4 linked regions of the Struthio camelus genome follow. The protein of the gene in region 1 binds, or shares a complex with, the protein of each later gene. Links are inferred from orthologs where the notes say so. Each region holds a gene or a part of one and is shown in the gene's direction. Other genes may lie near its edges.

Region 1 (7,137 bases):
GAGTCAGTGAACCAGTTCGCGTCTGCCGTTACTTGCTGTAGAGTAGAGATAAGACTGCCCGCTAACCAGATGTTTCTGTGCACTTCTCCTGCTCTGATGTTCTCACAGGATGCAGCTATGTGGTCTGCAGCTCTATTTCTAAGAGACAGCCATGTGAGACCTAATTTCTCCGAAATAAATCTTGCAGTGACAACGTAGGGTCCCTTGTGCTTTGCGCTGTCCCTGTTCTGTGGTGCCCTCAGAGATCTTGAAGTCTTTTACCTACCGGCTGCCCGTTGCCGGGGCTGGTCGCTCCGCAGTGCAGGGCTTCGTGCCTTGCTACCACAGGGGAACGTTCGCGATACAGGGAGCTGCCCTGTGAGTTACCACAGCTCCAGCCTTACCCGCAGAAACGGTCGGTGGCTAAGAGCTGTTGGTTGGAAAGGAATTGCACTGGGAAAGATGAGAAGCTTCCTTTCCAAATGCAAGGGCGTATTCTGGCAACGGCAGTGAAAAAATTATGGATAGAAAGGTGCTTTAAGCTGGTGTTTTAACTGCTGTGGAGGAGGGGAGAAGAATTTGCCTTGTAAGCACTAAGAGGAGGAAATGACTTTGCCTTTTGATGTGATCTGGGCTCCGTTTGCAGGCAAGGGCAAAGGGAAATCGTCTGTGACCTGTGAGCAGAGCGAGCAGGAGCCAGCTGACCTGAAGCTGCCCAAGCTGCGTACCTTAGACGTGTTCTCTGGCTGTGGAGGGCTGTCTGAGGGCTTCCACCAGGCAGGTGAGCTGCAGAGCTGAGACAGCAGCTGGGAAATGACCAGAGCGCACGGGGAGGCGGGAATCAGTGCTGGCCTCTCATGCCGAGTTCCTGCTTGGTGTCTCGATCCCTTTTGTTGGGCGCCGTGTTTGGGATGGAGCATGAGCTGGATCAGGCGATGTGAGGAAATCCTCGCTGCACAAGCGCAAGACCCTCTGCTTTGCCTCCCTCCCCAGGTGTGTCGGAAACGCTCTGGGCCATCGAGATGTGGGAGCCAGCCGCCCAGGCCTTCCGGCTGAACAATCCCGGCACCACCGTGTTCACGGAGGACTGCAACGTCCTGCTGAAGCTGGTCATGTCTGGTGAGAAGACCAACTCGCTGGGGCAGAAGCTGCCGCAGAAGGGGGATGTGGAGATGCTGTGTGGTGGTCCCCCGTGCCAGGGCTTCAGCGGCATGAACCGCTTCAACTCCCGCACCTACTCCAAGTTCAAGAACTCCCTGGTGGTCTCCTTTCTCAGGTGAGCAGGCCGCAGTGAGGAGCTTGCAGGTCAGTGGCTTGTCCCGAAGGACCCAGGCGTCGAATGTTGCTCTGTCTCTCTGCTCACATGTCCCTTTCCCTCCTCGCAGCTACTGTGACTACTACAGGCCGCGGTTCTTTTTGCTGGAGAACGTGAGGAACTTTGTGTCCTTCAAGCGCTCCATGGTTCTGAAGCTCACCTTGCGGTGCCTCGTCCGCATGGGTTATCAGTGCACCTTCGGGGTCCTGCAGGTAGGGCGGTTGCGGCTGGAGTGCGGCAGAGACCGCGCACGCAGGACACTTCCTTTAGCGGCAGGTCCTGAGATAGTGAACTAGGGCTAAAACCCCTCTCCTCTAGCCTGGCTCTGCAATGAACTATAACCTCCAAAGGAGCAATTTGCTGTGTTACTGCTCAAGCTCTTTGAGTTTTGTCTTCCCTCGGTCTGGCGGAGGGGACGCTCCCAGCTCTTTCAGGGCCCTGGTTGGATGGGGACGCTCCAGGCCTCGTTGCGGTCTCCTCAGGAGCGTCCTTTCGTTCCCAGGCTGGTCAGTACGGCGTGGCCCAGACGCGACGGCGAGCCATCGTTCTTGCCGCGGCTCCTGGTGAGAAGCTCCCCATGTTCCCCGAGCCGCTGCATGTGTTTGCGCCCCGCGCCTGCCAGCTGAGCGTCGTGGTGGATGACAAGAAGTTCGTTAGCAATATCACCCGGTGAGCCTTCAAAATGGCACGGTTCCCCCGCAGCGGGGCCGGGGCGCGCACGAGGGCAGGACGAGCGTTGTGGGTCTCGGGCGGGGGCCGCTCTCATCGCTCGCTCCTCCCTCCCAGGACGTACTCCGGCCCCTTCCGAACCATCACGGTGCGGGACACCATGTCCGACCTGCCGGAGGTCAGGAACGGAGCCTCCGCCCTGGAGATCTCCTACAACGGGGAGCCGCAGTCCTGGTTCCAGAGGCAGATCCGGGGCTCTCAGTATCAGCCCATCCTCAGGGACCACATCTGCAAGGTGCGGCCGCGGGGGTCTCGGCGGGGGGCCGGGTGACGCCGCTTCCATGCTGCGCTGGCATCCACCAGACGGGGACGGCGATCGGGGCGAGGGGAGGCCGTGCCTAGACCCCGGTCTGAGATTAGGTCAGGGACGTCGCGTGGGCAAAACCATGCAAACGGGGAGCGAGAGAGACCGTCCCAAAGCGCTCCCTGTGCGCGTACCCGCAGCCCCCTTCCCGCCCCGGGAGGGAAGACGAGGCCTGCAGCGGTGCAGGGACCCGTCCCCTTCCCGCGGCCTTTGGCAGAGGTAGGAACCGGGCTGCAGCGCCGCTCCTAGGCCTGACCTGCGTCCTTCCGCTGCCTTCGCCCCGCGGCCAGGTCCCGGGGCAGGTCGCCGTTGGCCGGTGGCGGGAGGTAACGCGGGGTTTGGCGTCCGCAGGACATGAGCGCCCTGGTCGCAGCGCGCATGAGGCACATCCCCCTGGCGCCGGGCTCCGACTGGCGAGACCTGCCCAACATCGAGGTGCGGCTGTCGGACGGCACGACCACGCGGAAGCTGCGGTACACGCACCACGAGAAGAAGAACGGCCGCAGCAGCTCCGGGGCGCTGCGAGGGGTGTGCTCGTGCGCCGAAGGTAGGCGACGGCCCGGCCGAGCGCGGCGCCCCACCGGCGCGCACCCGCCTCACCTCTCGCCGCCTTCCCCCCCGCCCAGGCAAGCCCTGCGACCCCGCGGACCGGCAGTTCAACACGCTCATCCCCTGGTGCCTGCCCCACACCGGGAACCGGCACAACCACTGGGCCGGGCTCTACGGGCGCCTGGAGTGGGACGGCTTCTTCAGCACCACCGTCACCAACCCGGAGCCCATGGGCAAGCAGGTGGGTGGCTCCGGGGGCTTCGCCGCTCCCGGCCCGTCCCCAAAACGCCGCCCCCGGAGTGGAGGGGGGGGGCTCGGCGCCGGTCCCGGCTCAGCCCCATCCCCTCCCGTCGCTGTCGCAGGGCCGGGTGCTGCACCCGGAGCAGCACCGGGTGGTGAGCGTGCGGGAGTGCGCCAGGTCCCAGGGCTTCCCCGATACCTACCGGCTCTTCGGAAACATCCTCGACAAGCACAGACAGGTGAGCGGCGGCGGCCGCCGAGCCGGCCCCGGCCCCGGCCCAGCGCAGCCTTCCCCGGCCTGGCAGCCGCCGGGCCGGCGCGAGCCTCACCCTCCCTCCGCCGGCAGGTCGGGAACGCGGTGCCCCCTCCTCTAGCCAAAGCCATCGGGCTGGAGATCAAGTCGTGCGTGTCGGCCAAGCTGAAGGAAGACATCGTGGGTAGGTCAGGGCGGGGGGCGAGGAGCCGCTTCCCGCCTTGGGAGCAGCCCTTTCCCGGGGTTGCCCGTCGCGCCGGCTGGGGTGGGCTCCCCCCCAGGCCCGAGGGGACCCTCGTTGGGGTCCGGGGCAGCCCGGGGGGGGGGTGCCGCCGGCGCCTCCTTCAGCCGCCGCTCTTCCCGCAGACGCCAGCGCCCCGGAGAAGATGGAGATCGCCGACTAGCGCCCGCCGCTCCCGCCGCCGCCGCTCCGGGACTCCCAAACATGCACTGATTTATCCCCCCCCTCCCCTCCCCTCCCGTTTTGTTTTTATTTTTGGGTTTTGGTTGCAGGCCCGGCCCGGGCCCCTGCCCCCCCCCGCCCCCGCCGCGGCCGGGGCTGTTTTTACGACGCATTGTATTGAAAATAATCGGCCGCTTTGTACAAGTGGGAATTAATACTTTATGTAGTTTTTATATGTTGTAATATTTCTTCAAATAAATCTCTCCTATAAATTATAACCGCTCTGCCCCGCGGCGGCGGCGGGGGGGGGGTTGGTTGCCCCGGGCAACCGCTCCCGGCAGCCCTCGCGCGCGCTCCGCCCCGCCCCTTCCGGCCGGGCCGCGCTTCCGGCAGCGGCGGAGCCGGAAGTTCCGGCGCGTCCTTCCGGTCGGGGCGCGCGAGGGCGGCGGCGGCGCGATGCCGACGGGCGACTACGAGTGAGGGGGCGGGAGGCGGCGGCGGCGGGGGGCCCGGGGCAGGCCGCGGGCGGGGGCCGGGGGGTGTCGGGGCCCCGGGAGGTGTCGGGGGTGGGGGGGGTTGGGGCCGGGGGGGGTGTTGAGGCCGTGGGGGGCGCGGCGGGACCCCAGGACATGGTAGGGCCGGGGGGTGTCGGGGCCCCGGGAGGTGTCGGGGGTGGGGGGGGTTGGGGCCGGGGGGGGTGTTGAGGCCGGGGGGGGCGCGGCGGGACCCCAGGACATGGTAGGGCCGGGAGGGGGGATGTCGGGGCCCCGGGAGGTGTCGGGGGTGGGGGGGGGTTGAGGCCGGGGGGGGCGCGGCGGGACCCCAGGACATGGTAGGGCCGAGGGGTGTCGGGGCCCCGGGAGGTGTCGGGGGTGGGGGGGGGTTGGGGCCGGGGGGGGTGCGGCGGGACCCCAGGACATGGTAGGGCCGGGAGGTGTCGGGGCCCCGGGAGGTGTCGGGGGTGGGGGGGGTTGGGGCCGGGGGGGGCGCGGCGGGACCCCAGGACATGGTAGGGCCGGGAGGGGGGATGTCGGGGCCCCGGGAGGTGTCGGGGTTGGGGGGATGTTGAGGCCGGGGGGTGCGGCGGGACCCCGGGACACGGTAGGGCCGGGAGGGGGGATATCGGGGCCCCGGGAGGTGTCGGGGCTGGGGTGGGTGGATGTTGGGGGCCGGGGCGGGATGCGGCAGGGCCCCGGGACACAGTGGGGCCGAGGGCGGGGGGTGTCGGGGCCGGGGGGCGACGCAGTGGGGCCCCGAGACACAGCAGGGCCGTGAGGGGGGATGCGGTGGGGCCGGGAGGTGTCAGGGCCGGGAGGGGTGTTGGGGCTGTTGGGGGGGATGTCAGGGCCGGCTGGAGCCGCGGTGGCCGGTGGCGGGGGAACCTGTCGCCGCCGGCGGGGCCGGTCTCAGGCTCTGGCGTTTCCGCAGCTCCAAGCCCAGCTGGGCCGACCAGGTGGAAGAGGAGGGCGGCGACGACGGTAAGCGGCGCCGGCAGGATTCCTGCTCTTCGCCCCGTCGCTCCCGCTCTTCCCCGCGCGTCGCGGGAGATTCGTCCTGCTCCCAGAGCCAACGGGAGCGCGTTTTTCTCCCAAGATACTCGCCTTACGTCCAGGGTTCAAAACAGGCCCAAACGTCTCTTCCTTGCGGCTGATCCGTAAGAGAAGGTTATGCCTGGCCTAGGGCAGGGACCAGTCCCCCCTCCAAGTCCCTCTTACCCATTTCAAGGATTCGAGGAAGCTGGGGGGTTTGGAGCGACCGACGTCCCCGCACCCCGGTAGTGGGGAAGGCTCTCGATGGCCGCACGGGCGGGAGCGGGGAGCGCCGGTCCCCAGGGCCGTGCCGGCGGTGAGTCCTGCTTCTCTTCCCGCAGACAAATGCATCACCAGCGAGCTGCTGAAGGACATCCCGCTGAGCGGGGTGCTGGGCGGCAGCCTGAGCGCCGAGGCCGAGCTGCTGAAAGGAGGTGAGAGCCGCCTGCGGCGCGTGGGGCTGCCGCGGTAGCTGCTCGCGTCGGCCTCCAGCTCACCGTCTCCCCTCCGCGCAGGTCCGCTACCCTCCCCCAAGGAGCTCATCAACGGCAACATCAAGACCATCACGGAGTATCGAGAGGAGGAGGACGGGCGCAAGGTGAAGGTGAGCAGTGCGGCCCAGGCAGCGGTTCGGGCCATCCCCGCGGCAGAGCCCCCATCCCTCCCTCCCGAGAGGGCACCGCTCCCTGGTCCTGCCAGCGCAGCTGGGTGCGGGCTGTTCCCAAGGGCCGGGCTGGTCCCGGCGGGCCGCGCTAAGGGCGCCTCATCGCGCCCGGCTTCAGCTCTGCCTCAGGCTGCTCTAGTTGGGGCCTGAAGGGTGTCTGCCACACGCAGGCCGTCCCTCCTCCTGCGCTGATAGACTCTGTTATGCCCCTGCAGATCATCCGCACCTTCCGGATTGAAACCAGGAAGGCCTCCAAGGCGGTGGCCCGCAGGAAGGTGAGCGCGCGCCGTGCGGGGCAGGGGGGACAGCGCCGCTTGTAGGGAGAAACAGAAAAATAGAAACTGTACTCAAAGAAAATCTGCTTCTTCTGTCAGCGCTCCCGCTCTGCGTGTTCCTTCTGCTCGATATTTTCCCCGTCTCCCCAAAGTATCCATCGTTAGGGTTGCTTTTCTTCCTGTTTGTGGTTCGCGCTCTGCGTTCAGCACTAGTGGGGCTATGTTGGTCCCAAGTGTTGTACAGGACTCGGGAGTGCGTCACGCGAGTGGGTCCCTCCCAGCCTTCCCCCTTCCCGAGCAGCCTCTGGTTCTCCCCAGAACTGGAAGAAGTTTGGCAACTCCGAGTTCGATGCCCCCGGTCCTAACGTGGCCACCACCACGGTGAGCGACGACGTCTTTATGACCTTCATCACCAGCAAGGAGGTGAGTCCGGAGGGGTGGGAGCCGGCGGGACGTCGGGAGCCCCGGCAGCCGGTGTGGGCGCCGGCAGGGGCGTTTTGGCTCTGTGGTGCTGAGGAGTCTTTCCTGTGCCCAGGACCTCAACTGCCAGGAGGAGGAGGATCCCATGAACAAGCTGAAGGGACAGAAGATCGTGTCGTGCCGTATCTGCAAGGGTGACCACTGGACCACGCGCTGCCCCTACAAGGACACCCTGGGGCCGATGCAGAAGGAGTTGGCCGAGCAGCTGGGGCTGTCCACAGGCGAGAAGGAGAAGCTGCCGGGAGGTACGGCATCCCTTTACCCCGGGCGTGGGGCGACGCACCTGCCCGCAGCGGGGGCAGCGCTCCCCTCGCGTGCCCCGTGACGGCCTGGCTTGGCTTGCAGTGGCCGCGGCCTGGTGTTGTGTCTCTTTGCAACAGCTGGATTCATCCTTTCCCTGGGGATTTGGTTTCTGGA
Region 2 (6,954 bases), on another chromosome or scaffold:
TTCTGAACAGCTAAATCAATCATTTAGGGACTTATTTTTACAGTTCAATATTTTCGACACTCGTCTGAGACAATTATATTGTAGCATTTGGTGTTTGCTAGGGTTTGGGTCCCCTGCCACCCCACAGCTATCATTCACTCAGTTGGTATATATTTCTTCCTCTTCAATGAGTGTAAAGCTCTGACTGTGAAAGTATCTGTTGGCCTGCCTATGACAGCTTGTGTACATTTATCTTCGCTACTTTCACTTACTATCACTGCAACTTCTTTTGTGAAGTTACCTTTATTTTAGCTTGGTTTTCTGTGTTTCTACATAGTGACTAACAAGCACACGGCAATCCTCAAAGTGCTGTTTTTGAACACCTGATATCTTCTCTAAAGTTAGCATGGTGATGAAAGTTATATTTTTACATTGGTGCAGCAGGCAATTAATACTACACCTCATTATTTTTAGGTAGTATTTGGATTTTCACTCTCATGCTACCTCTATAAGTCCCACATGTCAGTATTATTTCTTTTATAATTAGAGTAGCCCCTTAAACATTATGCAAAAGGCGAAGTGCTTGAATGCCTCTTGCTAACATGGAGATAAATCACTGCCTATGACTATACCATATAAAAGCCCTGGACTGATGGTAGAATATATGGCCCCTGAAAAACACAGATAACCAGTAAATCACAAAAGCATTGTTAACTTGGCATAAAAGAAAGCAAAGAGAGTCTGAGAGCACAATGAAGGCTGGAGACACAGACTTCCAAGCAAGAAATCTGAAGTGATTCAGAAAGTGAGACTTGATATTCATTTTCTTCTATGTAAGTATAAGATAATAAGTAGGATTATGTAAAATAAACAGTAAGCTCACTGACTGATTTCCTCTTGGCAGAAATAACTGAAAGACTTTAACTTGGACAGAACACAATAGAAAATTTTGTTGTAATAATGGAATAAAAACCATCAGACCTAATCCCATGAAACTAACCAGATGAAACCTCTTCCTGAAACAGTGAATGAAATAAGTTGTAAATATTTTATTTTGCCTGTACTACAGAAACAGTTTTCCTCAGTGCTAGAAGTGATGCTGCTTCTAGTAATATAAGCAAGATGAGGGGATAGCTACTGATAAAGGGATTATACACCATCTGTGCAGGTGACACAATAGCATATGCAGTAATGAGTCGACCACATAAGAACTGTAAAGAGAAATCCTACAAAAGCAGAGCTAAAAAGTCATTTTACTGTCAAAACAAGATGGAGGGAAACTACGCAACAAAAACTGTAAAATCAGAAGGCCCTGTGGTACCACACTGATCTGTGTTCATGTGAGAACGTTTCTTTCATTTATCCTCTAGGCAGATAGATTGTCCTGTAATAGCTAAACATCTTTATCACTTCAGAGACGGACACTAAGTTTTCAGTGACAGGCAGTCCTGATGTGTCACTGGTAAATTCCCATCTCAAATAATAAACTGATTATTTGCGAAACAGTATTAGTTCTGAAGGCCTACATTTTCCACAAGTCACACAACAAGCAAGAACAGTTTTGCAGCTTGGACACCTTAGGTCCTAGCAGCATCACATGACTGATTTTCTTACCATTAAACAATCTCTGTATAAACTGAGCTTTGTGTGAGCTGACCGCTGATCTTTGACTTTGGAGATCTAGACTGTCCATCCTTACTCACTATACACACACTCTGGCATGCTGTTCAGCAGCTTGACATCAACATACTAAGGAAGGCTGTCCCAGTTGCTAATTTCAAAGCACAAGTGCAGCTCCAAACTAAGCTGACCAATTTTAAAGGCTGCAGCATAAAGCTATAATGGTCAGGTCTTCAAGAGCCTTGCTTGCTTCACCTGAATCAGCAGGTGACTATGTCAAATTAAGCATCAAAGCCAGTTTGATGCAAATAGAAGTGAGATCAAACAGCTGCTCTCTAATAAGCATACCTCACACGTTTGACTTCCCAACGACACATCAAAGCTCCAGGAACATTTTAAGTCTTACACACAACCTTAGAACCCAGGCACACCTACAGGAAACGAAGGCTGCATAGCAGAAGCCTAAGAACAGGAGAGTCAGTCTTCACTGGCATACAGACCACCAGGTGCTTTCACAGAAAGATGAAAGCTGTGCATGTTCCCAACATCAGTGGATTAATCGCCTTTGTAGCTGTGATAGGTGCACCCTGCTTATGGAAAAGAGACACAAACTGCTAGAACAAATTCTTTTTGTTGAGCTGCTCCTTTTATGGTCTTCAACGACTGGGTAGGAACTGCTCGTCATCTGTTGATAATCTCCCCTCAGCTGATGAGGTAGACAAATCTCCAAAAGCCCCCAGTCCTGACAGAATGCTTTCTGATGTTAAAAGGGCTTTAATTAGTAACCCAAATCTAGGAAATTGTGTCTCAGGAGCCCAAAGTGGATCCATGTAAGAGCAAAGACAATTGCACTCCATGCAATAACCAGCACAGCACTTTTCTCTGTTATACTTGGGAAACAACTACCTTGAAAGATTCTCAATCATTCAAGAAGTCATCTGATTGACAAAGTGGTGCCAGAAAACTTAATTTCTGCCTGGCATAGCTTCACTGGTCTAAACATTTTATCAGGATGCAAGACTCCTCAAATACTTCAAAGACACTTGAAATTCTCCCTTGAAGTCTGTCAAATTAATATTTGTGAGGAAAAAGTTTTAGACTAAGACAGAGATCTGTTGTCATGTCGCTGCAACTTTTGAGATAACAGCTGCAGGCAGAAGGCAAAGAGAGGGAAAAGGAAGTGCAACAAGAACCCAGTATCCTTACCAGTCATCAAAAGCATACATAGTTTATTTTATAACCATACCGGCCCAACACACGTTGCTTTGTTTCCTGTGAGCGGACACTTGGAGTACAAGTAAATAGGTAAACAAATCCACAAAATCAATTTGTTAGATAACCATTAAGCCTTGGATACAGGTGATCAACATTCAGTTTCACTCTCTACGTGATACCTGATAACCACTTTGTTCCTCACTGGGAAGGAAGATCTAAAAACAGGGGTAACAGCACTGCAGCACCTCATGGGGCCATTAGTGCCACCACTGCATAGTGCTGGCATACAGCATTACCAGGTAACCTCCGCAGCTTGGTGCCACACTGTTCCCACGCTAGAGGCCTACAGGCTGCCGTGCTTACCACATCTCATATAGCTGTGGCACAGCCTCTGCACCGCAGGACATAGCAGGAGAGGCGCTGGCAGGTTCCACCCTCGCTGCGAGCAGGTCAAGGCAGCAGTAACGGCTCCGCCACCATGGGCTGGGCCCACCACTTGCGCTGCCACTGCCCAAACACCTTGGTGGCCATCTGCCATCAACAGTGACAGGTGCCAGGGTGCCTGGCCAACAAAGGCCCAGCAACAGCACTAGGGCCACAGAGGCAATAGGGCCCAGAAGACCCTGAGGAGCTCAGAAGCACTCAGCAGGACCCCGGCCTACTGCCTGCCCACAGCAGGGGTCTCCAGCCCCGAGGGACTGCCAGGCGACACTCACGAAAGCCAGAGGACTGCACACAACCAGCCAAGGGCTCAATGCTACACACAAAAGCATAAATCCCGCCCCTGCCTTATACCCGGGGGGGCGGGAACAGAAGGGTCACAACCAATAGACCGGCCTCCGTACACTGACAGACAGCAGTGGGAGCCTCACCAGCCAATGAAGGAGCTAACAGGCACGGAGGGTCCAATCGAAAAAGTTGCCGGACCCCAGAGAGCGCGCTAAAGACGGTGCGTTCTCCCTCCAATCAGAGGGTGCCTTCCCCCATAGCTTTCCTCAGATTGGTTAACAGATGTGAGGAGGGACTTACTGGGCGCCTCATTGCCCAATGGGAGGCAGAACTGCATGACAGGCGTTCAGGCCAGCCAATTATTACTGGCGCAGCCCCCTCTCCGCCTCTCTCTTCGCAAGATGGCGGCGACAGCTCCCACCGCAGCTTCGGTTCCTCCCGCGGCCGCCCCGGCACCGAGCCCCACGGCGGCGGCCGCCCCCCCGCCCGCCGGCGCCCCCCCGCCCGCCGCCCCGGCGCCGCCCGCCGCCCCGGCGCCGCCGCCAGCCGCGCCCTTGTCCGCCGCGCTCTCGGGCCCCTTCCCCGGCGGCCGCGTGGTGCGGCTGCACCCGGTCGTGCTCGCCTCCATCGTGGACAGCTTCGAGCGGCGCAACGAGGGCGCGGCGCGGGTCATCGGGACGCTGCTGGGTAAGAGCCGCTCGCCGGCCCCGGCGCGGCCCTGGCGGCCGGCAGCCCCCACGCCGGCCGGCCGCGGCGCCGCGCTAACCGCGCTGCCCTCCCCGCAGGGACCGTGGACAAGCACTCGGTGGAGGTCACCAACTGCTTCTCCGTCCCTCACAACGAGTCCGAGGATGAGGTACCCGGCGGCGGCGGGGCGGGCCGGGCCCGGTGACTTCGGCGGGGTGCCCTTGCTCTTCCCTGAGCTCCCGCTGATGGCAAGCGTTGGGGGTTTTCCCTGTGCTGTCCCGTGCTAAAATTCAAGTATTCTTGTTAGAGCTGGCTGTGCTGTCACGTTTTTTAGGTGGCAGTCGATATGGAATTTGCCAAAAACATGTATGAGCTGCACAAGAAGGTGTCTCCTAGCGAGATCATCTTGGGCTGGTAAGTTCTCCTTGGGCAGGAACATGCAAGCAGTTGTGTAGGTCTGTTAAGCTGCTTGAAATGCATAGTTCTTGTCACAGGTTAAGACAGGAGCCCTGATGCCTGCAGTTACGTTCTGCAGCTCCGTTACACACAGGCAGTTGTAAAACTGCTGTAATTCTTAATAGGAGGAAACAGTTCGAGAGACTCGCAGTGTTTACTTTGGTTTAGATCTAGAAAAGGTATCGCAGAAGAGTGATGAGTTACAGAATGCTTGCACGGATTTGTTAGAAGAACTATTTAGTGACCTGTAATACAACCTGTGCCATGGAAGATAACTGGTTAGAAAGAAGAGAGAACACAAAAATAGTTTCAAGTACCTAAGACCTCAGGATGAGTCTGTGATTTCAGTTTGAGCATGGAAAAGTTCTCTGCTGAGAAAAGGTGGAAAATACTTGTGTTTGGGAGGCCAGGCTAGAATCAGGAGGGTGTTACAGGGACAGAATCCGTGTCTAGGCCTCTGGGTGTGTGGATGGAGCAGATAGTTTCACTAGTCTGTCCATGTCTTCTCTGATCCTGGAAAATAGCATAGCTCTGTTTCTACGGAGCAAAATTCTGCAAGCACAATGCTCAGTTTTCTCAACAATCTTTTAATGGCACGGTGAACCACAGATGTAATGACGGTTTTCCTATGCATACAGGACGCTAATTGCAGACCAGATAAAGGATCTAGATTAACAAGTCCTGTCTCCAGCACTGAGATGTTTCATCTGTGGAAGATCTACTTGGTGGCTTATTGCTGGATTCAATTAGCATGCTTTGATTTACATTGAAATAAGGAGTTGGTCCAGAGCGTAGTGAGAGATGCTTGAATCTTGGGTGTTTGACAGCAGCTGTACTGACTCTGTGTGGCTGGTGCAAAAATGTTGGTCCTATGCATGTTGCAGGTATGCTTGTGCTCAGACTGTGATTCCTACAGTTCTGGAACCGCTAGTCATAAAGCTACAAATTATGTGGCTGAAACACTATTTGGTATGCCTCTGCAGCTCAGTGTTTGGAAATCAGTGTTTTAGGATACAAACTTGTTAAATATCCACAATAGCAAACATTGGGCACCTGAGTGTTGGAAGAACGGCTCCTTATGTTTGTGTTTTTGAAGGTATGCAACAGGTCATGACATCACCGAGCACTCGGTCCTGATCCACGAGTATTACAGCCGGGAAGCGCACAATCCAATCCACCTCACTGTGGACACAAGTCTCCAGAATGGACGCATGAGCATTAAAGCTTATGTCAGGTATTTTGGAAAGTTGCATTTTTGGGAAGGGTATATTTGGATTACTAAGAGGGACACCATCAGGATAACAAGAAGTACAATGGGCTACAGTGTCCCACTGAGACAATCACGTGCAGTAGTTAAAACAGAGTTGTGAGCCAGGGATCGTGTTTTTCTTCCCACTGGAATGTCTTGACCATCGTACGCAAGCTGAAAGACCTAACCTTTCATAAGCTGGTTCCTCATTGGAGGAGGAGAAGGGAATTCTCACTTAACTCATCTTAAGAGAGTTTTGAACGTCTTTGTGACATTTTACCGGATTTATATAGCTAGCATTAATGTCACTAACTTCCCTCCTATTGTCTGAATGGTAGACTTTATTCACTGAACTTTATTGCTGGGCAGTTTAGTTATACACGTCAGAGAATCAGTGTGATTAAAACATAATCAGCATCTTCTTGATCAGTCTTTCTGGCCCTCATCCTCTGCATTTTTATCCATTGGTAATGGAGGTTAAATACTGAGAAATGCAACTATTCCACCTCACTGTTCTTCCTGGTACTGACTGAACACCTCTCTTCTTTCCAGAATAGAGCCCTGGCCTTTTTTTTTTTTTTTTTTTTTTTAAAGCCAAAATCATACTGCTTCCTGACTATGCATCTCCAAAAAAGAAGCTGTTCCATGACATCTTACATACTGAAAGCATAAATGAACTTCAGATAGAAATCACAGATCATAGAAATAACAAAGGTGTTAAGAGTGCTTTGTACTTGAGTTTTTGTCATCTTTATTTTTGTTCCTTAAGGGATTTCTCAAAGACCGTGGAGTATTTCAGGATACTATTCTTGCTCTACAAGCAAGAAGCAACTAGACAGTACTTAGCTCTTCATGTGCTCACGCAGACAAACATCAGGCTAGTTAGGAATATTCTTGGATGAAAATGAGCAGTTAATAATATGCTTGTGTGCATTTCCTGTCCTCGGTTATCCAGGCTCTTAATACTGCTGATTTTGGTGAGAATGAGTAATCTACTCATGTTCACGCTTCAGTGTTAA
Region 3 (6,988 bases), on another chromosome or scaffold:
AAAATTCTATCAACCACAACTCTGAAAAAGCTGGCGAGCAACTGTCACTCAAGGAAGGCAGGCTTAGAGTTCAGCATCCAGGCAGCTTAGGAGAGGGGTGAAGAAGGAGCAAAAGGAGGCCACACTCAGCAGTGAAGGCATTTGGCCTGAGAGAACAGCAGATTGAGAAGGCAGTTAAAAGCGCAACTGGAAAGATGAGTTGCACAGAGGAATGCACACCAGGGAGGTAGGAGGGCTTCTCAGCCTGTGAACAGAGGGAGAGAGCAATTGAAACACAGCTTTTTCTGGAGGACAGTGATCCTTCTGGGCAGCTGAGCAGCCAGATAGTTGCTGGCCTGTGACAGGAGCCACTTTAGATGCAGTGAAGGTTGTTTGCAATGAGAACGCAGGAGCCAGCATTAAGTCTTGCCACTTTAAACAAGATGACTTTGGAAGAACAGTCTGAAGAGGTTTGTAAACATTAGTCTTCTCATCTCGGGGAAGGTGCTAAGGCTGAAGATTATTTTCTCTGGTTTCTGGGTTTGTCAAGAAGTACAGGGCACTGGGAACTAAACATATGGTACAGGCATACAGTGTGCTTGTTGTCTAGTTTAAAAAAAGAAACAATTGGCTATCTTTGATGCATTTGTTGTAAGAATTACAAAAGGAACTACTGGAAATTAGTGTTTCAATATGAACCTTAGTCTTCAAGTCCCCTCTTTGAGCAGAAGTCCTGCGCAGCAAATGGGAATCACAGTCACACAAGTTGGAAAGTAACCCCTATCCTAAGGCTTTCCAAGGTGTCTCCAGGTAGGGAAGAGGGTAGCTTTTTTTCTAGAAAAGAACCCTAATAGGTTGGGAGCTTTGAGTTGCTTTCCTTCATTTAAACCTGGCAAATTTCTTATGATACTGCCTGAGCTGCACGTTCTTCTTGCTCAGCAGGATGAGTCTGCTGTTCAGCACACAGCCAGCTCACAGAACAACAGCTTTTGAACGAGCCCTGAATTGCTGCAGGAGATGGAGGGAAAGCACTAGATTATGGCTGTGAAGCCTTTGGACTGGAACAGCCATGATGCTAGGACAAAGCCCGCTTTTATGGATTTGCTAACACCAGTTGCAGATCCCCAAAATAGAGAAATAGGAGACAAGGCTGCAAAACCAGATGGGAGCAATTTATCCTGGCTGTTCTCATGAGCATCTTCCAGGGAAAACTGATTAGCCTGATTAACTGTAATTAATTGATTAACTAGAATTGTAGATTAATGATCAAATGATTGCAAGAAAGCGTATTCTGAGCAACTCAGGGCTTCACTGGAAAACTCATGTGCCTGTCATAAAAGCCCTCAGCTAGATAGCAAATTATTGGCAGAAATGGTGCTTGGGGTTGGCAAGACAGGAACAGAGGGGTACATGCAACACTGGAGCCTCGACCACAGCATTGGACAGGAGATCAGAGGCGGCAGTGTATGGTGCTAAATAAAAAGTGAGGTAAAACTTACTCACTCCCCCCTCGTAAATCTGACCTAAATCTGGCAGAGAACATCACCCTCTTCAAGTCTGCAATAAGTTCTTAGAACTGAAATATTTTCCCCTGGATAAGAAACTGGTACTTTACACTGGAACATAAAGGAGTATTTATTCTGGACAGGACACTCCCTACGCATGCTCTGTCCTCTGAACCATGCCTCGTACCCAACTCTGTCCCCAGAGAAGGTATTTTGCTGGGCTAGGCCCAAACTGCAAATAACCTGTCAGCTTGGAAGACGAAAGCAGCATTACAGTCTCTTTTAAGAACCTCACACCGAGTTGGGAGCGAAAGGGAAGCTGAGGAAAGGAAGAGGAAGGGATTTAAATTATCAGTCCATTTGACATTGCTTCTCTTTATTCATTCCCTAATCCAGCTTTCTCTTTGGGATTTCCTGTTCCTTTTATCGCTGTCTCCCAAGCAGGACATGAACACAACAATGTTCAGATTGAATCTAATGTATCAAGCTGGATAAAGTGTATTTATCTGTTCCACATAGATAGATAATGAGGAAGTTAGTTATAGACTGGAATATAGCCAGAGCAGTCCCAAAGGTGCGTAAGGCCACCTCCCACAGCCAGAGCCCTCTGAGCCTACTCAGCCCGCCACCCGAGTTGGGGAGGGAAGGGAATGGGAGTTGGTGGGGCACTGCAGGAGTCACATTCTGGAGCTAGAATCCACTGCGCCACCACTGGAGAGCAGTGAGGCAATTCCAACACTCATTACATTTGTGCCCAGGAGGGCCATTTAGGTGGGACAGTTACAAATTGTATTTTATAAACTATATTTCTATAAGCGGATTTTTCACTAGCTAGGAAAATTGCTCTAATAATCCTACTCCTGATTAATGGGGAGGTATCCTGGCAAAGTAGAGACTGCTGCAGCTTCTGTGCTTTCTCAGGAAGTAACTAAAGGTGGTGAATTTGTAAATAATGGAGAAAATGCACACCCTTCTGAAGAGTATTGATCTAGACTTTTCTTGGGTTAAGGATACCCAGGAAAATTCTCCAGCCTATGAGCTGAAGATACCTGTAAGCTGGATCCTGGTCTTTTAGTGGTAGAGAAAATTTCAGTGATTTGAGTATCCAAGATTTACCAATGAGTTTTTGCTCTCACCATCTGAGAGGGGAAATAGATCCCAGTTATAGACAGGGATCTGAGGCATGTGTTATATTAAACGACTTATTCAGGGTCTCCTGAAGAGGCTATGGAGTTGAATGCGAAGTTGTAGCCCTACATTTCCTCTCTAGCAGGTCAAGGAAAGCCATCAGAGGCAATGCAAAACATCTAATATCATATTGTGAAGGCAACAGGGACAACTGCAATTAGCACTTTTCACACATCCTTACCCCTCAAAGTAAAGTATTTCGTAAAAATACTCTAAAACCCAAAGTCAGTTGTATGACCATACAACTGCAGTCAATACTACCTACTTCTCTACAAAAACATTGCAAAGTTTGCAATACATTTTTATTTCAAGAGGCTAACAAAAAATGCTTTGTCTGACAAAATTAAGAGGCACAGAATTAGATCGTGCTTCCTATCCTGATACACTGCCTTATTGATATACTTCTTGTCAGGAGCCCTGTAAGTCTGTTCTTTATCACAGACACAAATCTATCTGTGAAAATAGGAATTTACCTGTCAGACTTTACAGTAAGTCTTTTTCATGTCTGCAGAACAACCTGGCACAACTGGACAGGAGGGCACTGAAGCATAGCAGTAGAAATGTTTGTCAGTTACTAAGTTGAGGATCAGTATCCTTTCCTGTACATAATTTTAGGCAGAGTAATTTGTGCTCAACCTCCGTCAAAGAAAAGAAGTCTTCTTGATATGCAACAGTCACCTCTGATCATGAAGTCCAAGTATCCCTATGAGAGCAACAGATAAAAAAACCAAGGAACTCTGTGAAACAACCTGGGCCATCCCACTGCGGCCAGGCAGAGCCGTTATATCAAAATCATTCCCAACAGATGTTGGCTTAACAAAGGCTTAAATACCCCTATTCACGTTCAACAACGTTTCTAGAAGTTTAATCAACTTTACAGCGAGAAAAGATTTTTCTAACATCTCACTCAGATCTCCATTGTTTCAGTTTGAACTCATGTTTCTCCTCTGCTTTCAGGAGGCAGGGAAAACAATCTGTTTTCTTCCTCTTTGTGACAGCCAAGTACAACCCGAAAGGCTTTGTCTTGCCTCATCTCGGCCTTTTCCACTTAAAGCTGAACACAAGCTCTTCTGCGGATAAGGCAAGTTTATTATCGCGAATACCATTTTTTTTCCCCGTTAACCCCACGTACTGTTGGGCAGGTAATTAGGAGGGTGCGGGACTTCAGTAATCGCTACCGTTGTGACAAGAGGCACCATCAGAACAGGGAACAGGCTAACTCAGCCCCCACGCAAGCCACGGGTGACGCGGTTTGACGTTATCTGGGACCCCCCCCTCCCCTCCGCGCCCCCCCATTCATCCCAGCAGAGCCGGCACCCCCAGGGCAGCTCGCGGGGCTGCTGACAGAGGGCTCTGAGGCACTCCGCCAACTAAATCCTGCGTCATAGGCAGCAAGAAGAGGAAGAAAACTCCGGCAGCCACCGCAACCGCCGCTGCCGCGGCAACCGGCACCGCCGCGGCCTCAAGGCACACTGGGATATTGGAGGGAGCGCGGAACGTCATGGAGGCGCCCGCGGGCGCGCTGCAGCTTTTCTAGCCAGGCCGTCCGGCAGCTCTATGGTTTCGGCGTCATCCAGACGACATCTGAGCGGGAGGTGGGGCAGAGGTGCCCGTGCTTTACGGCAGCCCCGGGGCGGGAAGAGCGGAGCTCCTTGGCGGCTTTATTTATTTATTTATTTTACGACGGCGGCGCGCGGCGATGACGCGCTAAGGCCGGGCCGGAGCCGTGCGGGGCCCTTTCCTCGCCGCCGCCGCCGCTGTCGTCGTATCCGCCGCCATCGGGGCCGCGCAGGTGAGGAGCCGCCGGTGGCGCGGCCGGGGCCCGCCCGCTGCCGCACTGGGGCTGGGCCCGCGGGTATCGGGGCTCCCCCTCCACCCGCGGCCCCGCCTCTGCCCCCGGTTCCGGTGGGGCCGAGTTTCCCCATCCCCCGCCCTGCCCCCAGGAGCGTCGCCTCGCTTGCGGCCCCGCGCGGGGCCGGGAGGTCAAATAGGCCCGTCCTTCTCTTGAGGCACCGAGGCCTGGGCCGCGGTGTCCGCCGTGTCCGTAGCGCAGCCCTGGCCGCCCTGTCCCGCAGCAGCGGGTGTCGCGGTGCTTTGGCAGGGTTTGCCACTTGGCAACTGAGCTTTTCTGGTTGCTTTCCCCCCCCCCCCCTTTTTTTATTTTTACTTTTTTTTCCTCTCCTAAAGGTTTAAAAAATGGCCAAGTTTGTGACACCAGTGATCCAGGACAACCCCTCGGGCTGGGGCCCTTGTGCTGTGCCTGAGCAGTTCAGGGATATGCCATATCAGCCCTTCAGTAAAGGAGACCGCTTGGGAAAGGTATTAAAATCATGTCCTAATGTGGAGCTAGGGAAGGTGGCAGCCTTTGTGTTAACCTGCTGAATGAGCCCTATGTTCCTTCTTACATATCACCTGTGCATAGTAGTGGTGCTTTATTTTCAGAGCTTCTTTACTAATTACTATGACTGTTTTTGAAACATCCTTTGTAGTCCATCCTAATTAGCATAGTTGTGAACTATTAGCAAGATTGGCAAGCAGAGGTGGGAACTGAAAGGAGTGATTCTGGAGCATAGAGCCATATTTGCTTTTGCTGCTTGAAGTCCTGCATATGTAAAGTCAGAGTTGCTACTTGCTTATTTTGACTGTTTGTTTGTCCTTAGGTTGCAGACTGGACAGGAGCCACTTATCAGGATAAGAGATATACGAGTACGTGCTGTTTGGTGACTGCTCCTGTCATTTGTTTCATACAAGCTTACTTCAAATGTCATTCCTGCTTTCATGTTTCATACCGGCTCTAGTGGTTGCCTACGTTCCTCAGCAAGAGCTGCTTATATTCAGAAGTGTGCCTCACCCTTGGGAGAGCTCCATGGGGCTCTCCCCGTCCTTACGGTTTGCTTGTGGTTTTGTTCTACCTCGTGACTGGTGCTTTTCTTGGAGGTTTAGAGGCAGAGCAAACTGCAGTGGTATAAGGTAGACAGTCCCAGCTAATGCATCAGGCTTGAGGGAAGGCGTTTGGAGGGGATTGTTCCCCCCTCCTACTTCGCCAGTCTTCTTTTCCTAGAAGCTTGATAGCAAGATGCTTTGTTTTATTTTCAGACAAGTACTCTTCACAGTTTGGCGGAGGAAGTCAATATGCATATTTTCATGAGGAGGATGAGACTAGCTTCCAGTTGGTGGATACAGCACGGACGCAGAAAACCGCGTACCAAAGGAATCGTATGCGATTTGCACAGGTAACACCTGTTTTCCAAAACTCTGAGAGCTTGAGTGGTAGCAAATTATTTTATAACTAAAATGTCTTTCTCCCCCCCGCCCCTTTTCACAGAGGAACCTTCGGAGAGACAAGGACCGTCGGAACATGCTGCAGTTCAGTATGCAGACACTGCCAAAGAGTGCCAAGCAGAAGGAGAGGTGAGACCCTCATACGGGTATACTGTATTTGTATGAATTGTGTCAACAAAGTATTGATAAATTGGGTAAGATACTGTAGCAGAAACCACCAGAGCTAACAGTCACCAAAGAACAACTTGAGGATTTTTTTCAAGTCCATTGTTTTGCCCAAGTCACTTGTAGTTATAAGCATGGGTTTCAAACAGCTACTTAAGAATTTAGGAGAATTTCTAAATCCAGTTCAGAAAATAACCGTGGTAATTTAAAATGAAGTATACTCCTTTTGGAAGCTGCGTTGTAGTCTTCAAAGGTGAAAATATTTAAACAGCAGCTCGGAATAAAGAGCAGAGCTTGTAACGCTTCACACATCTTGATCAACAGACAGCTCAGTGAATGTTTCAGTGGCTTGGTGCCGAAAGGTATTGTTCCTTTGGTGCTAAATTGGAAGTGTAGGAGTGGTTGTGGCATCTAGGAATCAAGAACTTGTCGTGATGGCTTTTCACATGTTTGCCGTTGTAGAGATCGTTTGCGTCTACAGAAGAAGTTTCAGAAACAGTTTGGAGTGAGGCAGAAATGGGACCAAAAATCACAGGTAAACTAGCTTTCTGACCCCTGTGATTGTCTAGTTCTTTCTCTGCTCTCATGAGGCAATTTCTCTCTCACAAATCCTGATGTGTTGTGTCTCTCTCTCTCTCTTTATCTGTCTACTGTCTGGCCGCACAGCAGAAGCCTCGTGACTCCTCTGTTGAAGTTCGCAGTGACTGGGAGGTGAAAGAAGAGATGGACTTCCCTCGACTGATGAAGATGCGCTATCTGGAGGTGTCAGAGCCGCAGGACATGTGAGTTTCTAAAACAGCTGAGTGCTCGCTTCCTGAACTGACTGGGTTTTGGAAAGTAGCAGGGCAAGGGCCTCGTGGCCCATGCCC
Region 4 (8,007 bases), on another chromosome or scaffold:
ATGATGTCCCTTCAGAAATTTTAAGAAGCGTGAGGCAAGGCAGAGAAGGGGTCCAGTCCACAGGAGAGTGGTGTGCTGAAGTAGCAGCCTAGTGGAAAAATCAGATTCTCTTAACTGCAGCAGTTATTCCAAAATAGTTCAACGGTTAATACGGAAGAGAACCTGGTCCATTAAATTGACGTACTTGGAGAGCTATTTATAAAGACTTACGTTACTGGAAAAGAGCAGGAGTACTTTGAACAGAGATCCTCTAGCATGCACACTTTTGAGATGGAACGTTTTGAGGCTGGGTTGAATCGAGTGATACGACATTTGCATCAGTAGGTTTGGGAACAATGGTAGAGGTTTCAGGAAACTGCTTAGACGAGGCTGAAACAATCAGAATAATTTTGGTGCTTTTTTGTCTTATTTCAATCAAGATTTGTGGAAGCAATGGGACTGGAAGAGAGGCGCACACCCGACGGTCTGACCATGCGACCGCAATGAACCTAAGAGAAAGACCTCAGGCGCTAAAATATTTGAGACAAGAAGTGACGTTTATTCCTGATGTGGACAACGCAAATCTACTTGAGTGGCTCCCGTTCACAGACTACTTTGAGGATACCAATGCAGATCTCCCACTCAGGATTTGGAGACAAGAACCTGCACAGCTCATCTGATAATAAATTCAAGGTCTGCATTGGTGAACTGCTGAGAGATGAGTACTGTTTTCTATGTGTCAGTCCCAGTATGGAATTGCTTCCTGATAGAGGAGGAAGAATTTTACACCCCCTTCCTGATGATAGAGGACATGGTAGTATGGCAGTTCAGTATGATCCATCATTACTTGGACATGCAGACATCATATATGAGATTGGAACATCTTCTAACAGCCTTTGAGCTCTAGCATCTTGAAGTGGAACTGCTGACTTTTGGAAATACGCTTCTAAAGTCAGTTGCGAGAAAAAGGGTCAGAGAAGAAAAGATGCGTTTCCTTGCAGATCTTCGGCATCTGAAAACTAAAACAGAAAGCAGATCACCCCCTGAAACAGGTGGTTTGGCTTAACTGAAAAAAGTACCTAGCAGAAGGGTACGCTGTTTGTGAGTATAGCTCACACAGGAAATAATGAAGGAGGTGCTTGGCATGGCATGTCATAAAATGCAAGAGTTCGTGCAGCTTGAGAGAGACAAGTACTGATTTACATTAATGGTTGGCCTGGAGCTCAATTATAAAATCAAGTTAAAACAATGTCAGAAGCAATGTCACTGCTAGTGCCAAGAGTTGCTCAGATGTATGCTATGGCCTATAATGGCAGCAGGATCTACTTTTAGAACGCTCATTCTGAAACCAAAAGTTGGTCTTTATTAGCAACTAAAAAGCGTGCACCATGTATATCCTCTTATCAACCAGTGGGCTGGAGATAAGGAAAGACACCCAAATATATGCCTGAATTGCTGGTGACCCTTTGAAGCTATGGAGAAAAAGAGGGACCGTGAGTTAGTAAAGATCCCTCATCACAGGAATTTTATCAGTGGCTTCGCATTACTACTATCTGAAAATATGCAGCATGACGACAGTCACAGACTGTTTCCCAGAGAACAATGCAATAGTAACGTTGGCTAGTGTCACCATTCTAAATTTGAAAATTTAGAGCTTTAATTTCCTTAGATTTTGAATGGGTCACCAATGTCTCCTCTTCTTCAGCATCAGAAAGTTGTTGCTGTAAAAACTCTTCTCCAAGAAGCATCAGAATTGGTTCAGTAAACTCCCCGTGAGAAATCTGATCAGATTCTCATGTCCCTATGACATCACAGAGTTGGGAGGCGGTGATGAAGTAAACTGGATGAAGTTAATCAATGTTTCCAACATTTATGCATTTGACAAGGTAGAAGGAAACAGACCAGTGTAACTGGTAGAGGCTAGGCTGGATCTGGTTGTAGCTCCCAGGCATATCAGCGAGTTTGATGTTTAATCCTCAGACAAAACAGTTCTCCACTTCTAACCTATTCCATCAGGAACATCCAAACAACATGAAGCATCAAACGTCAGGTCTTGAACAGACGTCTGCTTACCTCTGGCTAAATCAGAGCTCTGGAGCCGTGACAGTCGCTCTCTCTGTCTTGCGTGCAGAACAATCTAAAGGGACAACACAGGCCTCAGAGCATTTCAAAATAAAATATTCCCTGGTAGCAGTGGGGAAGAAGTTGGAGAAGAAGTTGGAGAAGAGTGACAGCTTGAAACCGTAAGAGGCAAACAGTCCCTTTATAATCTGCAGCAAGGTGAAGGTGTAAACCCACTTCTCTAGAAAGTTCAAGCACTTAAAATACTTATCCTGGAATCTGTGGGATGTAGCAGTTTTTGCGGCATCCAGGGGGGACTGGAAGAAGCGCAGAGAGAGTTTTCACTTCTATGGATCTACTGTTTAAAATGAATCCTCCAGCCAGTGGGATAGCAAGAGAATGACTTTCCAATGACAGCTGGCTCTAGAAATTAAAAAATGCAGAATTCATTTGCTATTTGGTGTGGGAAAATCACGGCTACAACTGCGTGTGCAGCGTGACTTCACTGGACTAACTGCAGCGGAACTAAAGGCCCCTGTACAGCAGAAGTAAGGCAGCTTGGATATCTGTGGATTTGTGTCCTGTGGTTGACTGACAGCTCAGGCTACAGCCCTTCCTTCCACTGAGTCTGTCTTCCATCTGATACCTATTTTATATTTGTAGACACTGAATTCCTGTAAGGGACCTTTAGACCTCTGCTCAATTTGGTTAAAGCCAGCTGGTGAGTTCAAAGTTTTTAAGTAAAGGACAACTATAGTGATTGCAAGGCCACGATCCCCCCTGGGAACTGAGCTAAAAACCCCACCTTAAAGAGAAGGAATTATGCAGATAAATTGTGAAAGCATAATCTGGTTGCTAGACTATCTCTACAGCTTTACTGCAATCCTACGCCCATGTTTATTTGTGGTTTGATCACGAACCTGAAAGCTGGGAACTGACTAAATCATAACCTACCTTTACTATAAATTTATACTATTATTAAGGGGATTAGGAAATAGTTTATGGCACCAGTCTGAAACAACTTTTGAAAGTATTTTCTCTTTTCTTCTCTCCCATTCTGTTTTAAAGAACTCCCTCTCATTCCCTGAACTGAAAATAGCTGAGGGCTGAGTAGTATTCAGGTGGACGTAAGCCGTGCTAGATGAATCTAGAGCATTTCTCATTAGTAAAACTTAATTATTTCTGAATAGGATTGCCTACTTAGAGCCTGTGACTTAAGTTGTTTTTGTTCTGCCTGTTCTGTCTGTATTTATGAGTTAGGAATAGGAAGAATAGAAAGTCATTCAAATCCTGTGAATAACTGTTCTTGGCTCCGTTAAGGGTAGGAAACAGATATGCAGTTATTAGCCATATTTGTTCAGATCCAGTGGAGCTTTCATTTATAATCATTGCAAGGCATCCTAAAAGAGAAATATCTAAGATGTGCAGGAAGTTATGTAATTTCTGTTGGACTGCTTCCCGAGAAACCTTAAAAAGTTCCCTAGTACTGATACCAGAATACTCTGTATTGGTGTGTCAATACCGGACAATATATGATGCTCCAAAAAACTGTGTCCTGAAATATAGCATGTAAAGGTCTCTTCTTAGTCTTGGGATCACAGCATTATATACATTTATTGTCTGATAAGGGGCATAACGTTTGAGTCATGGAAATTTTTGTACTGAGAAAGCCTATCAGAAAACAGAGATTCCATTGCTGAAGGAAATGTTATTATCAAAAGCCTACGAATAATGTATTAATTATCTGCAGCTATTTAAATTAAATTATTGAACTATAGTTTGCGAGCATGAGATAAACTATATAATCCACAACAGCACAAGCTGACTGAATTGAAACTGAATTAGGTTTTTTGTAGCATTCCCCCCCCCCCGCCCAGTCCTATATATTCTATTTCTAGTGTTTCTTTCTTATTTTTAAGAATCAATCCATACAAACCTAATAAAAATATGCCTGATTGGGACATAATTTTTTTTCCCTTCATAAAGGGGCCTATCGACAGTATCGGAGGATATTTTTTACTACAAAGCTGTAGTAAACGAGAGGTAATCGCTGCAACGTCAGGTGGCAAAGCTTACCGTGCATGAGGCTAGTTCCTAGAAGCTTACGGTTTTCTGCTGTATTTTTTATGTCGTTAGCATATTTATGTTTTAGCTCTGCCATCTGCAGAGGGCGTGAGGAATTATCTCAGGCTCAGTCACAAGCCTCATCTTTACCAGGGAAAAAGATAGTTTTCGGGCACGGGGCGGCCTGCGCCGAGTCCCAGGCTCTCCGCAGGATCATCCTCGTACGGACGGGTTCCGTAGGTACAAAACGGTACTATTTTAACCTTACCAGGGTATTAAAAGGAGTAGGACGCACCAAAAGTGGGCCCGGTTATATCCATAGGAAAGTTCTTAAACAGCTTATTCCCTGTCCTCTACAGGGCAATACACCACGACAGCAGTACGTTTGACAGTAACGTTTTCTGTGCCTCCCACCTGGAACAGCAATCCCAGCCTTCTTTTCCTAGTGGGGACGTGTTCAAACACAGCAACCGGGAAACCCCTTCTTCCTGAGGGCAGCGTTTAAGGGCGCGCACTGCTCCTGGCAAATCTCTACCGTACGGGGCAGGCTCCTTTCGCTCTGCAGGTGTTTTATGACAACGCTACAAAACACTCGCAGCCCCCTCAGCCCGGCACCGACATGGCGGCCCCGCGGCCCCCTCAGCCCGGCACCGACATGGCGGCCCCCGCACCCCCTCGGCCCCCTCAGCCCGGCACCGACATGGCGGCCCCCGCACCCCCTCGGCCCCCTCAGCCCGGCACCGACATGGCGGCCCCACCCCGCCTCAGCCCGGCACCGACATGGCGGCCTCGCCTCAGCCCGCCCCGCCCCGCCCCGCCCCGCCCCTAGGGGGCGGTGCTTGTGGGGGAGGCGGGAGCGCGGGCTGGCCGGCGGGGCGGGGCCCTGTCAGTCCGCCGCCATCCCGGCGTGCCCCGCGCGCGGCGCTGGCCGCTCTCGGCGCGGCTGACTCACCGTGCTTCGCTGTGGGCGCTGCTCCGCGGGGCAAGATGGCGGCGGAGACGGATTCGTGGGGTAGGTGGTGGTGGTGGTGGTGGTGGCGGCGGCCGTGCCCGGCGCCCCGCGGGAGCCCTGGCTACCGCCTTGCCCCGCCGCTCACCCGCTCTCCTCTCCTCCACAGACGCGGACAGCTTCGAGGTGGTGGAGCCGGTGGCGAAGCGGCTGGTGCCGGGGGTGGCCGGGGACCGCTGGGCCGGCGAGGATGAGGAGGACGACGTGAAGGTGCGGCCGGGGCCCGGGCCGGGGCCTGTTCCCGCCGGGGCCGGGCTGGGCCCACTGGGGCGGGCGGGGGCCGAGACCGGGGCCGCCGCGGCCGCGCCGCTGCCATATGGTGCCGCGTGTGGCGGGCCCCGTGCTGCCGGCCGGGCCGGGCCGGTGGACGAGGGCGGCGGCGGCTCCTGCGGCGCTGCCGGGGCTTGAGGCGGGTTTTCCTCAGGAGCCGGGGGGGGGGTTGGTTGGGGGGTGAGAGCCACGAAATGGGTTTCTGAGGCCCCGGGCTCTGCCGCCTGCTGCGGAGATGACGAGTCGAGATGCCACATGGAAAAGACTGCGTTTCTGCTTTGTGCTTGTTTAATCCTCGCTTAGACTGGTTATTTTTCCTTAAGGTTCACTTGCTTTATATTGGATCTTCCAGGTGACAAAAGAGAAAGACACTTTTACTCTCCAGTTTTCTAGGGAATCCACCTGCTGCTTCTGAGCTGCTTGCCAGCAGCTTGGTGCTTTTCTGCAGCCAGCTGGTTTCTGCTTGCTTTCTGTAGACCTTCTCAAATGCTCTTTCAGATCCTTGGTTTTGAGTAGCATAGACTAGGTGAGGCGTTAAAAGTTGGATTTAATGGAAGCAGCGCTGTCTTAGTACTACTTCTATTGACCAGAAACTTCTGGGCTGCAGCAGCCTGTCCCTTCCTGCTCTCACTCCTCTTCCTACTTCTTCCCACCCCCCCCCCCCCCCCCAAGCCCCACCACAGTTGGAAAATAAAGCAGTCTACTATGCTCTTTCAGGTTTGGTAGTGTCCAGATCACTAAAAGATGTTTTGTTTACTTAAGGCTCTCTTCTTACTGTGTTTCAAAGTGTAATGTCTGCATGGAGTTTGTATTAAAATGTGTGAATGTTCATCTGTAATATTTATGAAAGCAGACCCTCTTTAAAAGCTTGTTGTCTTTTATTTAGCTCCAGCTGTCCCTTAGCAAGCCAGATTGACTGAGTGGTGGATGCCACAGAAATCTTAACTTGCTCAGCGTTCGTATAGACTGTAAGCAAAATGATGCCAGGGGACATAAAAGGAATGTGTTTGACTATTAGGAATCAAAATGGGTAAACTGAAAAACACTTCTCTGTTTCAAATCAAGGTGCTGAGGTGCTGCAATAGACAATCCTGTAGCTCACTAGGTGATGAGTACTATATTATGGTCAGAAGTATGAGGCTTTCTGAAATAGAGTATTGCTGCTTATTAGGCGAGGACTTGTTGGTTTTGTTATTTAGGCTGCTGCTTGTGTTACCAGAACCTCTGAAAAACGCCAACACGGTTGTCCTTGGAGCTTAGGGTGGGTATTCTTTTTTTCAATCAGTATGAAAAAAGTAGTTCATCTTGTCTTAACAACAACAACAAAAAAAACCCAAATATTTTTGTAAGTTATGGGCTGCCTATTTTTCACCTTAACTATAGGGTGTGGGGGTGTTATTACATTTATAGGTGTCAGTCACATTACACCAGGCAAAATGAGTAAAGGTATCTCTGTATACAGTGGCTACGGTAGTTTGTAAAGCTTGTGGTTAGAATGTGACTATACATGTATACTTATTTTTACATATCTGTGTACACACACATACATACGTGTCTGTATTTATTTATTTTTTGATTCCAATTGACTTAGCAAAGTTTGCTTTTCCTGATTCCTTTGAAAGTGAGAAACTTTTCATCTACAATATAATGTCTTAATGGAACTGGACTATAAGCTGTTATTCTTTTAAAGACGCCAGCTTTGTATGGCTACTCTGATAAAGGAACAAAGTTTTCCTACCAAAACATTCCTACCAGTAAGAAAGTTACTATTAAGGGATTAAGGCTTTAGTACTGGAGCTGCATTTAGAGACAAGGGCCCCTAGAGCAAATAAAGCTGTTTTATTTTACTTTGAGTTGCACTTACTGTATAGATGCTAAAGATCATGCAACTGAGCCTGTGAGATAATTGCTTAGATTGTAGATACCTTGTTTGTAACTGTCAGCCTCAGGAAAGTACCTGCATAAGAAAAATGACGTGGTCTAAAATACAAGCCCAAAGTATTTTCTGGCCAGTAGTTTGCCTTCAAGTTGGTATTTCACACTTCAGATTTTTTTTTCTTTTTTCTTTTTTTTTAATATATTCAGATTCTATAGTTTGTTATGGAGGTATTTTAATAAAGATAGTAACTGTTTTAAGTTTAGGAAACTTTGCCTTTCATGAGATTAAAATTAGCATCTTCGTAAGTGACAAAAGTTTCCCAGAAGACAGGCCTGCTGCCAAGGAATTTTCATCTATTTACTCTTGGGCAATCCTATACTTAACAAAGCCAAAACTAGGAAACGTGCTTCTTATCGTATAGGCAACAGCCTTTGACATGGTACAGTCCTTCCTCTTTGAAGGAGAACGCGAAATATTGACTGGGAATCTAAATAGTGGAGAACCTGTAATCTTCAAGTAATGTTCTCTGTTTTTCTGGAACACGCATCTTTGTACATTTAAAGGTACATGTGGTGGAGCATATGAAATTGTAATAGTTGCTTTCATCAAGGGTTTATTTGCATGAAATGGAAGATGTTTTTCAGTAACCTTATTTTAGTTAAGTATGTATAAATTAGTATCTTTGAAATGCTTCAAAGTTTTAAGTGGTGTTAGTGGATGTATTTTGGAATTAAGACGACCTCTT

Evidence for each region.
Region 2: EIF3G (region 1) and EIF3F share a complex: the UniProt entries of both Homo sapiens proteins name them as parts of the eukaryotic translation initiation factor 3 (eIF-3) complex. The link is inferred for Struthio camelus from reciprocal best matches to the Homo sapiens genes EIF3G and EIF3F.
Region 3: EIF3G (region 1) and EIF3D share a complex: the UniProt entries of both Homo sapiens proteins name them as parts of the eukaryotic translation initiation factor 3 (eIF-3) complex. The link is inferred for Struthio camelus from reciprocal best matches to the Homo sapiens genes EIF3G and EIF3D.
Region 4: EIF3G (region 1) and EIF3J share a complex: the UniProt entries of both Homo sapiens proteins name them as parts of the eukaryotic translation initiation factor 3 (eIF-3) complex. The link is inferred for Struthio camelus from reciprocal best matches to the Homo sapiens genes EIF3G and EIF3J.

Annotation. Positions count from the first base shown.
Region 1 is NC_090972.1:4,971,334-4,978,470, forward strand, and holds the start of EIF3G (eukaryotic translation initiation factor 3 subunit G), read left to right. Parts: upstream 1-4,137; 5' UTR 4,138-4,228; coding exon 4,229-4,248; intron 4,249-5,200; coding exon 5,201-5,250; intron 5,251-5,642; coding exon 5,643-5,735; intron 5,736-5,816; coding exon 5,817-5,905; intron 5,906-6,180; coding exon 6,181-6,240; intron 6,241-6,558; coding exon 6,559-6,663; intron 6,664-6,775; coding exon 6,776-6,965; intron 6,966-7,137. Other genes in the region: DNMT1 (DNA (cytosine-5)-methyltransferase 1), read left to right, coding at 626-760, 973-1,255, 1,365-1,506, 1,797-1,963, 2,081-2,258, 2,679-2,874, 2,954-3,117, 3,239-3,355 and 2 more. UniProt on the Homo sapiens protein: RNA-binding component of the eukaryotic translation initiation factor 3 (eIF-3) complex, which is required for several steps in the initiation of protein synthesis.
Region 2 is NC_090948.1:24,470,786-24,477,739, forward strand, and holds the start of EIF3F (eukaryotic translation initiation factor 3 subunit F), read left to right. Parts: upstream 1-3,934; 5' UTR 3,935-3,944; coding exon 3,945-4,230; intron 4,231-4,328; coding exon 4,329-4,399; intron 4,400-4,564; coding exon 4,565-4,644; intron 4,645-5,782; coding exon 5,783-5,920; intron 5,921-6,954. UniProt on the Homo sapiens protein: Component of the eukaryotic translation initiation factor 3 (eIF-3) complex, which is required for several steps in the initiation of protein synthesis.
Region 3 is NC_090942.1:59,344,288-59,351,275, forward strand, and holds the start of EIF3D (eukaryotic translation initiation factor 3 subunit D), read left to right. Parts: upstream 1-3,978; 5' UTR 3,979-4,464; intron 4,465-4,859; 5' UTR 4,860-4,868; coding exon 4,869-4,991; intron 4,992-5,332; coding exon 5,333-5,378; intron 5,379-5,768; coding exon 5,769-5,905; intron 5,906-5,997; coding exon 5,998-6,083; intron 6,084-6,581; coding exon 6,582-6,654; intron 6,655-6,785; coding exon 6,786-6,901; intron 6,902-6,988. UniProt on the Homo sapiens protein: mRNA cap-binding component of the eukaryotic translation initiation factor 3 (eIF-3) complex, a complex required for several steps in the initiation of protein synthesis of a specialized repertoire of mRNAs.
Region 4 is NC_090953.1:1,192,474-1,200,480, forward strand, and holds the start of EIF3J (eukaryotic translation initiation factor 3 subunit J), read left to right. Parts: upstream 1-4,999; 5' UTR 5,000-5,091; coding exon 5,092-5,116; intron 5,117-5,222; coding exon 5,223-5,323; intron 5,324-8,007. UniProt on the Homo sapiens protein: Component of the eukaryotic translation initiation factor 3 (eIF-3) complex, which is required for several steps in the initiation of protein synthesis.